Linked DNA regions of Macaca fascicularis. The protein of the gene in region 2 purifies or fractionates together with the protein of the main gene of each other region. This does not show direct contact. Links are inferred from orthologs where the notes say so. Each region holds a gene or a part of one and is shown on either strand. Other genes may lie near its edges.

What was found.
Region 1: the proteins of DERL1 (region 2) and SERPINA1 purify together in Homo sapiens (affinity purification with western blotting; 4 studies listed by BioGRID). This does not show direct contact. The link is inferred for Macaca fascicularis from reciprocal best matches to the Homo sapiens genes DERL1 and SERPINA1.

What each region holds. Positions count from the first base shown.
Region 1 is NC_088381.1:162,413,921-162,418,869, reverse strand, and holds the start of SERPINA1 (alpha-1-antitrypsin), read left to right. Parts: upstream 1-1,481; 5' UTR 1,482-1,524; intron 1,525-1,869; 5' UTR 1,870-1,960; coding exon 1,961-2,076; intron 2,077-4,949.
Region 2 is NC_088382.1:132,692,607-132,697,599, forward strand, and holds the start of DERL1 (derlin-1), read right to left. Parts: upstream 3,124-4,993; 5' UTR 2,925-3,123; coding exon 2,772-2,924; intron 1-2,771. UniProt on the Homo sapiens protein: Functional component of endoplasmic reticulum-associated degradation (ERAD) for misfolded lumenal proteins. Forms homotetramers which encircle a large channel traversing the endoplasmic reticulum (ER) membrane.

The DNA of each region.
Region 1 (4,949 bases), on a different chromosome or scaffold from region 2:
TTCTTCAAATGTGGCCCACCCCACCCCAGTGACCCCTGACATGGGGGAGGAAGGACAGCATCAGAAGGGACTTTCCGGGCACACCCAGCACCCAGCTCTGAGCTGTCCTTGAACTGTTGCATTTTAATCCTCACAGCAGCTCAACAAGGTACATACCGTCACCGTCCCCATTTTACAGATGGGGAAATTGAGGCTCAGAGCAGTTAAACAACTCACCTGAGGCCTCACAGCCAGTAAGTGGGTTCCCTGGTCTGAATATGTGTGCTGGAGGATCCTGTGGGTCACTCGCCTGGTAGAGCCCCAAGGTGGAGGCATAAGTGGGACTGGTGAATGACAGAAGGGGCAAAAAATGCACTCATCCATTCATTCTGGAAGTATCCACGGCACGTACGCCAGCTCCCAAGCAAGTTTGCACATTGCACAAAGGGTGATGCAATCTGATTTAGGCTTTTAAAGGGATTGCAATCAAGTGGGGCCCTACTGGCCTCAACCCTGTACCACCCCTCCCTTCCATCCCCAGTAGTCCCCAAAGACCTCCATCAACCCCAGGATGGGGGCCGTATTCCCAAAGAAAATCCAAGCTGTATACGCATCACACTGATTTTCCAGGAGCAGAAACAGAAACAGGCCTGAGGCTGGTCAGAATTGAACCCCCTCCTGCTCTGAGCAGCCTGCGGGGCAGGCTAAGCAGAGGGCTGTGCAGACCCACATAAAGAGTCTACTGTGTGCCAGGCACTTCACCCAAGGCACTTCACAAGCATGCTTGGGAATGAGACTTCCAACTCTCTAGGATGCAGGTGAAACACTTCCTGGTTCAAACAGGTGAAGCGGCCTGCCTGAGACAGCATCACGCTTCTTTACAGATTTGCTCTCCCACCTCTACCCTGTCTCATGGTCCCCCATGCTGGCCTGACGCTTGTGTCTGCCTCAGTCATGCTCCATTTTTCCATCCGGACAATCAAGAGGGTTTTTGTGTCTAAGGCTGACTGGGTAACTTCGGATGAGCGGCCTCTCTGCTCTGAGCCTCAGTTTCCTCATCTGTCAAATGGGCTCTAACCCACTCTGATCTCCCAGGGCGGCATCAGTCTTCAGCATCAGGCATTTCGGGGTGAATTAGTAAATGGTAGATCTTGCTACCAGTGGAACAGCCGCTAAGGATTCTGCAGTGAGAGCAGAGGGCCAGCAAAGTGGTACTCTCCCAGCGACTGGCTGACTCACGCCACCCCCTCCACCTTGGACGCAGGACACTGTGGTTTCTGAGCCAGGTACAATGACTCCTTTTGGTACGTGCAGTGGAGGCTGTATGCTGCTCAGGCAGAGCGTCCGGACAGCGTGGGCGGGCGACTCAGCGCCCAGCCTGTGAACTTAGTCCCTGTTTGCTCCTCCGGTAACTGGGGTGATCTTGGTTAATATTCACCAGCAGCCTCCCCCGTTGCCCCTCTGCACCCACTGCTTAAATACGGACAAGGACAGGGCTCTGTCTCCTCAGCCTCAGGCACCACCACTGACCTGGGACGGTGAATCGTAAGTATGCCTTTCACTGCGAGAGGTTCTGGAGAGGCTTCTGAGTCCCCCACGGCCCAGGCAGGCAGCAGGTCTGGGGCAGGAGGGGGGTTGTGGAGCGGGTATCCGCCCGCTGAGGTGCCGGGCAGATGGAGGGGCTGCAGCTGGGCTCCTATTGTCGTAATAACAGCAGCCATGAGGGTTGTGTCCTGCTTCCCAGTCCTGCCCGGTCCCCACTCAGTACCTACTGGTGGATACACTGGCTTTTGTAAGCAGAAGTGCACGAGGGTGTCTAGCTCCGCGGTCCTGGCACCCCAAGATACAGCAACAGCAAGGAAGCGCAGCCATTTCTTTCTGTTTGTGCAGCTCCTGTGTCTGTCAGGGGGTTCCTATCTGTTGTCTCCTGTAAGCCTCACCACCTCTCCTACTACTTGGACACGCATCTTTTTCCCCTTCTATGGATGAGGAGGTTAAGGTTCAGGGAGGGGTGAGGAGGAACGCCGGCTCACATTCTCCATCCCCTCCAGATACGGCCAGGAACAGACCTGTGCCAGGTCTCAGCCTTACATCAAGGTGGGTCTCCCCCTGCACTGTGGACCTCTGGGCCCTCCTGTCCCAGTGGAGGACAGGAAGCTGTGAGGGGCACCGTCACCCAGGGTTCAAGCTGGCATTCCTGAATAATCGCTCTGTGCCAGGCCACGGCTAAGCTCTGTGCACAATTAAGCCTCATAACCCTCCAAGGCAGTTACCAGGGTGATTCCCATTTTACAGATGAGGAAGTTGGGGACCGAGTGGTTAATAACTGGCCCCAAATCACACACCATCCATAATTTGGGCTCAGGCACCTGGCTCCAGGCCCCGAACTCCTGAGCCTGGCCCTAGTGCTCACCGTTTCTCTCAGGTCTCAGGCGCTGGATGGGGAACAGGAAGCCTGGGCTGGACTTGAGGCCTCTCTGATGCTCGGTGACTTCAGACAGTTGCTCAACCTCTCTGTTCTCTTGGGCAAAACATGATAACCTTTGACCTCTGTCCCCTCCCCTCACCCCACCCGACCTTGATCTCTGGAGTGTTGGAAGAATTTAATTTTTCCTGCACTGAGTTTGGAGACAGGGGTCAAAAAGCTGACCAAGGCCAAGCTGGCCAGTTTCCCATAGAACGCCTCTAAAAGACCTGCAGCACTAGCAGCAAGAACTGGTATTCTTGAGAACTTACTGTGCACCAGGCACTTCTTGGTATTTTGTGCATATTTAATTTCACAATAACTCTATGACAAAGTCCACCTTTCTCATCTCCAGGAAACTGAGGTTCAGAGAGGTTAAGTAACGTGTCCAAGGTCACACAGTTAATAGCAAGTTGATCTGGAGCAATCTGGCCTGAGAGCCTCTAATTCTAGCCACAAACTGAGGCTGCCCCTCTTCATTTAGCCAGGCCACCTCTGAAATCTTCTGGTTCAAGACTTCTGGCTCCAGCTTTGTACACAGAGACTATTAAATGTCAGGTTTTGCAGTCACATCTGTTTAATCCCAGACAAAACATCTGGGATTAAATCTCAGTTTTGTAAGCAAGTAGCTCTGTGATTTTTAGTGAGTTATTTAATCCTCTTTGGGCCTCAATTTTTCTGTCTATAAAATAGGGTTCATCATTTACACCTCATAGGGTAAGCTTTGAGGACAGATTAGATGATACAGTGCCTGTAAATCGCCTGGTGTTAGTAAGTGTGGCAATGATGGTGACACTGAGGTTGATGTTTGCTTAGCATAGGTTAGGCAGCTAGCAGGCAGTAAACAAATACTTGGAGAATTTAATGGAAAATTGGCCAAACTCAGATGCTGTTCACTGCTGAGCAGGAGCCCCCTCCTGCTGAAATGGGTCCTGGGGAGCGCAGCAGCTGGCAGGAAGAAATCTGCCATCTCTCGGGCAGGAGCTCAACCTCTGTGCAGGCACAGGGACGGCTTCCGCACCTGGTGCCCACTCTCGCATTACGTCAGTTATTCCTCATCTCTCTCCAAGGGATTCTTTTCTCCACTGTATAGCTCTGAAGCCAATGCTCACAGAAGTGAAGTCATTTACCCCGGGCCCCCTGCCAGTAAGTGACAGGGCCTGGTCACACTTGGGTTTATTTATTGCCCATTTCAACAGGTCGTTTGACCATAGGCGAGATTCTCTTCCCTGCACCCTGCTGGGTTGCTCTTGGTCCCTTATTTTATGCTCCCGGGTAGAAATGGTGTGAGATTAGGCAGGAAGTGGCTTGCTTCCCTCTCCCTGGCCCTGCAAAGGGTGCTCCCACCTGCCCCAGTTCCAGAAATGTCACCATGAAGTCTTCATTCTTCTGTTTTAAAGCTTGGCCTCAGTGTCCATACACCATGGGGTACTTGACCATCTACTTTCTCCTCTCCAGCCGCCCTCCCAGGCACTAGCTTTTGAGGGTGCAGGGTGCTGCCTCTGATAGAAGGGCCGGGAGAGAGCAGGTTTTGGAGTCCTGATGCTATGAGGAACAGCTTGGGAGGCATAATGAACCCAACACGAAGCTTGAGACCAATGTCAGAGCCCAATTCTGCCATTCATCATCTGAGATTTGAGGGCACAGCTGTCTCAGTCCGTGATCTGAGTGCTGGGAAAGCCAAGACTTGTTCCAGCTTTGTCACCGACTTGCTGTATGGCCTCGACAAGGCCCTGACCCTCTCTGGGCTTCAAACTCTTCACTGTGAAAGGAGGAAACCAGAGGAGGTGATGTGACGCCAGGAAAGATGGATGGGTGTGGGGAATTGTGCTCCTCCCAGCTGTCACCCCCTCTCCACCCTCCCTGCACCAGCCTCGCCACCTCCTTCGAGCCCAGCAGCCTCCTGTCTAGGAGGGTGCCTCTTCTCCATCTGTTTTGCTACATCGAACCCAGATGCCATTCTAACCAAGAATCCTGGCTGGGTGCAGTGACACTCACCTGTAACCCCAGCACTTTGGGAGGCCGAGGCAGGCGGATCAAGAGGTCAGGATTTCAAGACCTGCCTGGCCAACATGGTGAAATCTCGTCTCTACTAAAAATACAAAAATTAGCCAGACGTGGTGGCATGTGCCTGTAATCCCAGCTACTTGGGAAACTGAGGCAGGAGAACTGCTTGAACCCGGGAGGCAGAGGTTTCAGTGAGCCAAGATCACACCACTGCACTCTAGCCTGGGGGATAAAGCGAGACTCTGTCTCAAAAAAAAAAAAAAAATCCTATGTTAGCATACAGAGGTCCCCAGTGAGGTCTTCTCCCAGCCCCACTTTGCACAACTGGGGAGAGTGAGGCCCCAGGACCAGGGGATGCTTACTCAAGGCCAAATGGATAGTGGTGGCCCTGCCAGGACTAAAGCCACAACTTCTGGCCCTAAGGCCACTCAGCGTATTTAGTGTCCCCACCCTGCAGAGGCCCAACTCCCTCCTGACCTCTGAGCCCTGTAATGATGGG
Region 2 (4,993 bases):
TTTACTGCACCCAGCTCTGGCTATCTCCCTGCCTTCATCTACCAATCCTCATCCTACAGCTGACCCTGTGCCAGCTGGCAACCCAGTCTTCTTCCTGTTCCCAGCTCCTACCTCTGAGTCTTTCACTTACTAGTGAAAGGATCTAGAATTACTAGTGATGGATATAGAACTTCTACGCTCAGCCTATAGTCCAAGTTCATTCTCCTCCCTGCTATGTTGAAATGTCTCTCTTCCCCAATACACTCTTAAGTCAGTCTCCTAAGGTTGCTGTCATCAGGTTAAATGTGTTATGTAAGCAAAAGCTTGGCAAATATAAGCACCAGGCTGAGTCACAGAATTGGTTGGTTGTCTCCAGAGCCAGATCCACTCAAAGCTGGCTGGTTCCTCAGTATTCCAATTTCTTCAAATGTCTTCTCTGAGGCCTTTCGGGGTGGAACACCCTATCAAATATTACACCCCTTAAATCACGTGCCTCTATGTCTTCACAGGATCTGAAACCTTTTCAGTCCTATTTACTATTGCACCCCAGTGCCCACACACAGCAAGTGAACAATTACTTCCAACAACTCAGTTAATATACAAGCACCTACTATGTGCCAGGCACTATTCTAGGTAACAAGGACAGTGGTGAACAAGGCAAAGATCCGGCTCTCTTGGAGCCTTATTCTCTGAGGGGAAGCAGACAAATACCAAAGGGTAATATGCAGCAAGAAAAATGAAGGATAAGGCCAGGCACGGTGGCTCGCACCTCTAATCCCAGCACTTTGGGAGGCTGAGGCGGGTGCATCACCTGAGGTCAGGAGTTCAAGACCAGCCTGGCCAACATGGCGAAACCCTGTCTCTACTAAAATACAAAAATACGCTGGGCATGGTGGTGTGCGCCTGTAATTCCAGCTACTTGGGAGGCTGAGACAGGAGAACCGCTTGAACCCAGGAGGCAGAGGTTGCAGTGAACCAAGATTGCACCATATACACTCCAGCCTGGGCAACAGAGCGAGACTCCGTCTCCAAAAAAAAAAAAAAAAAAAAAAAAAAAAAAAGAAAGAAAAGAAAAATGAAGGATAAGGGAGTGAAGTGAAGGAGGGGCTATTTTATATAGGGCCACCAGAGAAGGCCTTGTCAATAAGAGGGCATTTGGGCAGAGACCTGAAGAATGATAGAAGGTAAACAAGTGAGCCACGGTTATCTTCCTCAGGCAGAGAAACAACACGTGCAAAGGCCCTAAGGAGAGATCCAGATAAGCACTGAAGTAACAGCAAGGATCTCATTGTGGAGCCTAAGGTAGACTTTGGAGAGCAGTAGGAGATGAGGTCAGAGAGGCAGCAGGGGCCTTGCAGGCCGCTGAAAGAACTTGGATTTTACTCAATAAGAAGACATGGTAGGATTCTGGACAGAGGAATGACAGCACTTGATTTAGGTTTTAAAAGGATCACTCTAGCTGTCTAGAGAAAAGACGGAAAGGAACCAGATTGCAGTGATAATGGTTTGCAATGGAGAATGACAAGGGATTGTATTCTGGGTATATGTCTCAAATAGAGTCAACAGGATTTACTGACAGATTGCGGGGTGTGAGAAAAACAAGAAAAATAAAAGATGACTCTGACAATTAACTTCAGCTCCTCTAATAATGGAGTTGCTATTCACTTCTAAGGCAAAGGGGGAAAGGGGATTCAGTTTTGGACACGTTAAGATGAAGATGACTCTTAGTCATCCAAGTCGTGATTTCAAGTAACTGTTGGATGTACAAATCTGGAAATCGGGAGACAGATCTGGACTGAAGATATTTATATTGACATTTCAGAATCTCCAGTTTACAGAAAGAACATAAAGCCCTGAGGCTGAATGCATGAGACCATCTAAAGCTAGGGAGAGTCTATAGAGAAAGTCCTATAACTGTTTCCTAAGGAACATCCTAACATTTAAAAGTAAGGAGGATAAGGAACCAGCAAAGGAAACCAAGAAATAATACCCAGTGAAGAGAGAGAAAGACAAGAAAACGTCATCCACAGGCCAAGCAAAGGGCTGAAATTAATGCCAGATCTTGCTATCTGACCTGCCGCTGATTAAAGTTTTAAATCAGAAATTGGTGAATACAAATAACCTTCTGAAAACTAGCACTCTCTTGACACAAATGTTACTCTGGACCGTTTCCTTCATGCTTAAGAAAATAACAAGGCCTTCTATTTCTGGACAAATTTACTCTTTGCCCATTCCTTCGTACATTCTATTACTACGTGGGGGATACTAAATTAGGGCTAGAGGGAAATGCAGAAAAATACACTCGTTCTTTGTATCTCTGACTTTAAATCATTCCTATAGGAAAAACAAAACAAAACAAAAAAACTCCATTAACGTGAAAGGAACTCAGCTAGAAGGTGAAGTTAACACCTACAGGCCACCCACGTGGGTGACCAGAGGGAGGTCAGAGGGCAATGCTCCAGGCGGACCTAATTGCCAGCGTCCAACAGATTGACAACTACCGCCGACTAATCTCACTGCTTCCTTCATGAGTGCGAAGAGCGGGAAGCACAATCTCACTAAACTAGTTAAGTCAACCCCTCCCCACCAGGCCAAGCCCACAACTCCAGCTATCCAGGACCCGGCTCCCACAGCCTCCCCCGGCCCAAAGGACCCCGCCCTAAACCGCCGGCTCCGGACGCACTACAAATCCCAGCTGGCACCGCGCGTCCGCAACATGCCGGCCTACGCTCCGCCGCCGCGGATCCTCCTGGGGCCTGTAGTCTCCACGCCCCCCCGTCTCTGGTAAGTACCTGAAACCGATAAAGGAAAGCTTCCGGCCAGAGGAAGAGGTATGCCGGGCTGATGAGGCCGAGTTTGCCGACCAAGGGCACCGCGACGGTGGCGGCGAACCAATAGCGCGTGATCGCCGGGATGCTCCTGAACCAGTCTCCGATGTCCGACATCTTCGACCCACAGGTAGCCAAGATGCACACGACCGCCCGACTCCCCGTGCCGACCCCCTCACGACGCGGCCGGCTCCGCGACTGTTAGGTATCGAGGTGGAAGCCGCCGAAGCCGCGATGCAGAAGGCGGAGACGGGAGGACGTGGCGCCACCGAATTCGGACCAGCGAGACAGCCTTCTTAGGCGAAACTTCCCCTTCCGGCGGCCGCGGACGACGTGACCAGAAGTCCCGCCGCTTAAAGGGCAAGGGCCGATTTTTACCGCCCGGTCGAGGCTCGGCGCCCTGAGGGGCGGAGCCAAGTAGGGCGACGACACGACTGGTGGGAAAACAGTGGTTGCCAGGAGCAACGGCAAAAGTTCCAGCCAATGGCGAGGCCAAATGCCATTCACCTATTTCTCAGAGTTTTAATACGGCTGGATCCACTTGGAGGGTATTTAAAGGGGACGAAGGCAAACGAAGTGTCTAGTTCCTCGTCTACTCACCCATTCCACAAGTGTTCGTCGGGCACAGTTCTAGACACCGGGCAGCTGCGGCTGTCCGCGCTGTCGTGGTATCCTCTCTCCTGATCCTGCATCTTCATTGGGATAATTTATAAACAAATAGATAATGAAGTAAGATAATCTCAGAGAGTGATTGGAAAAATAGGAAAATGAAATGAGATGAGGTAGAGTGACGGGGTCGGGTTGCGGCAGTGTGAGGACAGATGGCTACTTTAGGTGTGAACTGGGCCAGGGCCAGGCAAAGATCTGGGGAAAGAATTTTCCATGCACAGAAAACAGCCGCTCTAACTAGGTTGGAACGTTGGAAAAACTAAAAGCCAAAATGATCCATCTTGTCTAATTCATCTTGTGTAAAAAGGAATCTTTAAGAAAAGATACTGGCCGGGCGCAGTGGCTCAGGCTTGTAATCCCAGCACTAAGGGAGGCCGAGGCTGGCGGATCACGAGGTCAGGAGGTTGAGACCAGCCTGGCCAACATGATGAAACCCCGTCTCTACTAAAAATACAAAAATGAGCCGGGCGTGGTGGCGGGCGCCTGTAGTCCCAGCTACTTAGGCGGCTGAGGCAGGAGAATCGCTTGAACCCGGGAGGTGGAGGTTGCAGTGAGCCGAGATCGCGCCACTGCACTCCAACCTGGGGGACAAGGGCCAGATTCCGTCTCAAAAAAAGAAAAAAGGAAGAAGAAGAAAAGAAAAGATACTGAGTAGAGTTTCCTGTTGTTTTGGGATTTGGGGCCTACAGTTTAAGATTGCTAAAGTCTTCCCATAAAGACCACCAGGAACAAACCTGTAGTCAACAAAGTTAGATTTATTAACTTGCTGCAGCAAGGGAGACTGCACTCCAGAGGAACCTCAATGCCTCTCATCAAACAGAAGTGTCATTATTGGGTTATGGGAATGAGGGGAATTTTTGGTAAAAATTAAATGGAGCAGTGTTTGATAGACACAAAGCAAAGCAGAGCTGTGTGTAGCATCAGGTTAACATTAGACTGAGTAAGAAGCAGGCTTTTTCCTTGGAAATCTCAAAGTTAAGACAAATGTGAAACGTTGGGTCTGAAAACTCTATGTAAAACTTTGTACCTGTATTGAAAATCCTGTGTCAAAGTCACCTGCCTGGCTCAGATGCTCTGGACAAGAATGGGATGTTCCATTCACACGGAAAGAATGTCAGACAGCAGAGTTTCCAACATTCTGTAATTGTAGAGAATATTTGTCAGCACCGTATCCTTGATGTTAATTAATAAAAACGGTTTTTGCAGAACAAAAAGGCATTAAATATTCCACAGTGTAATGAGAGTAAACAACATTTGGGGACCAATGGATAGCAAATATATAAAGAACACAGCCGGTGGGAATATAAATTGATACAGCCTTACAAAAAGATAATTTTGATATAAAATAAAAGCTAGCTATTTATATAAATAACAGATAATATTTGACGATATTGCCTGAGATTTATTCTGTTTATTTCCCTTTACCACCACCACTATTGTTTTGTACCCACTACTCATACCCAAGGTACAATGAAAGAAAACAGGGGCCATCTGGCTTAGGTGGAGGGCTAAGGAAA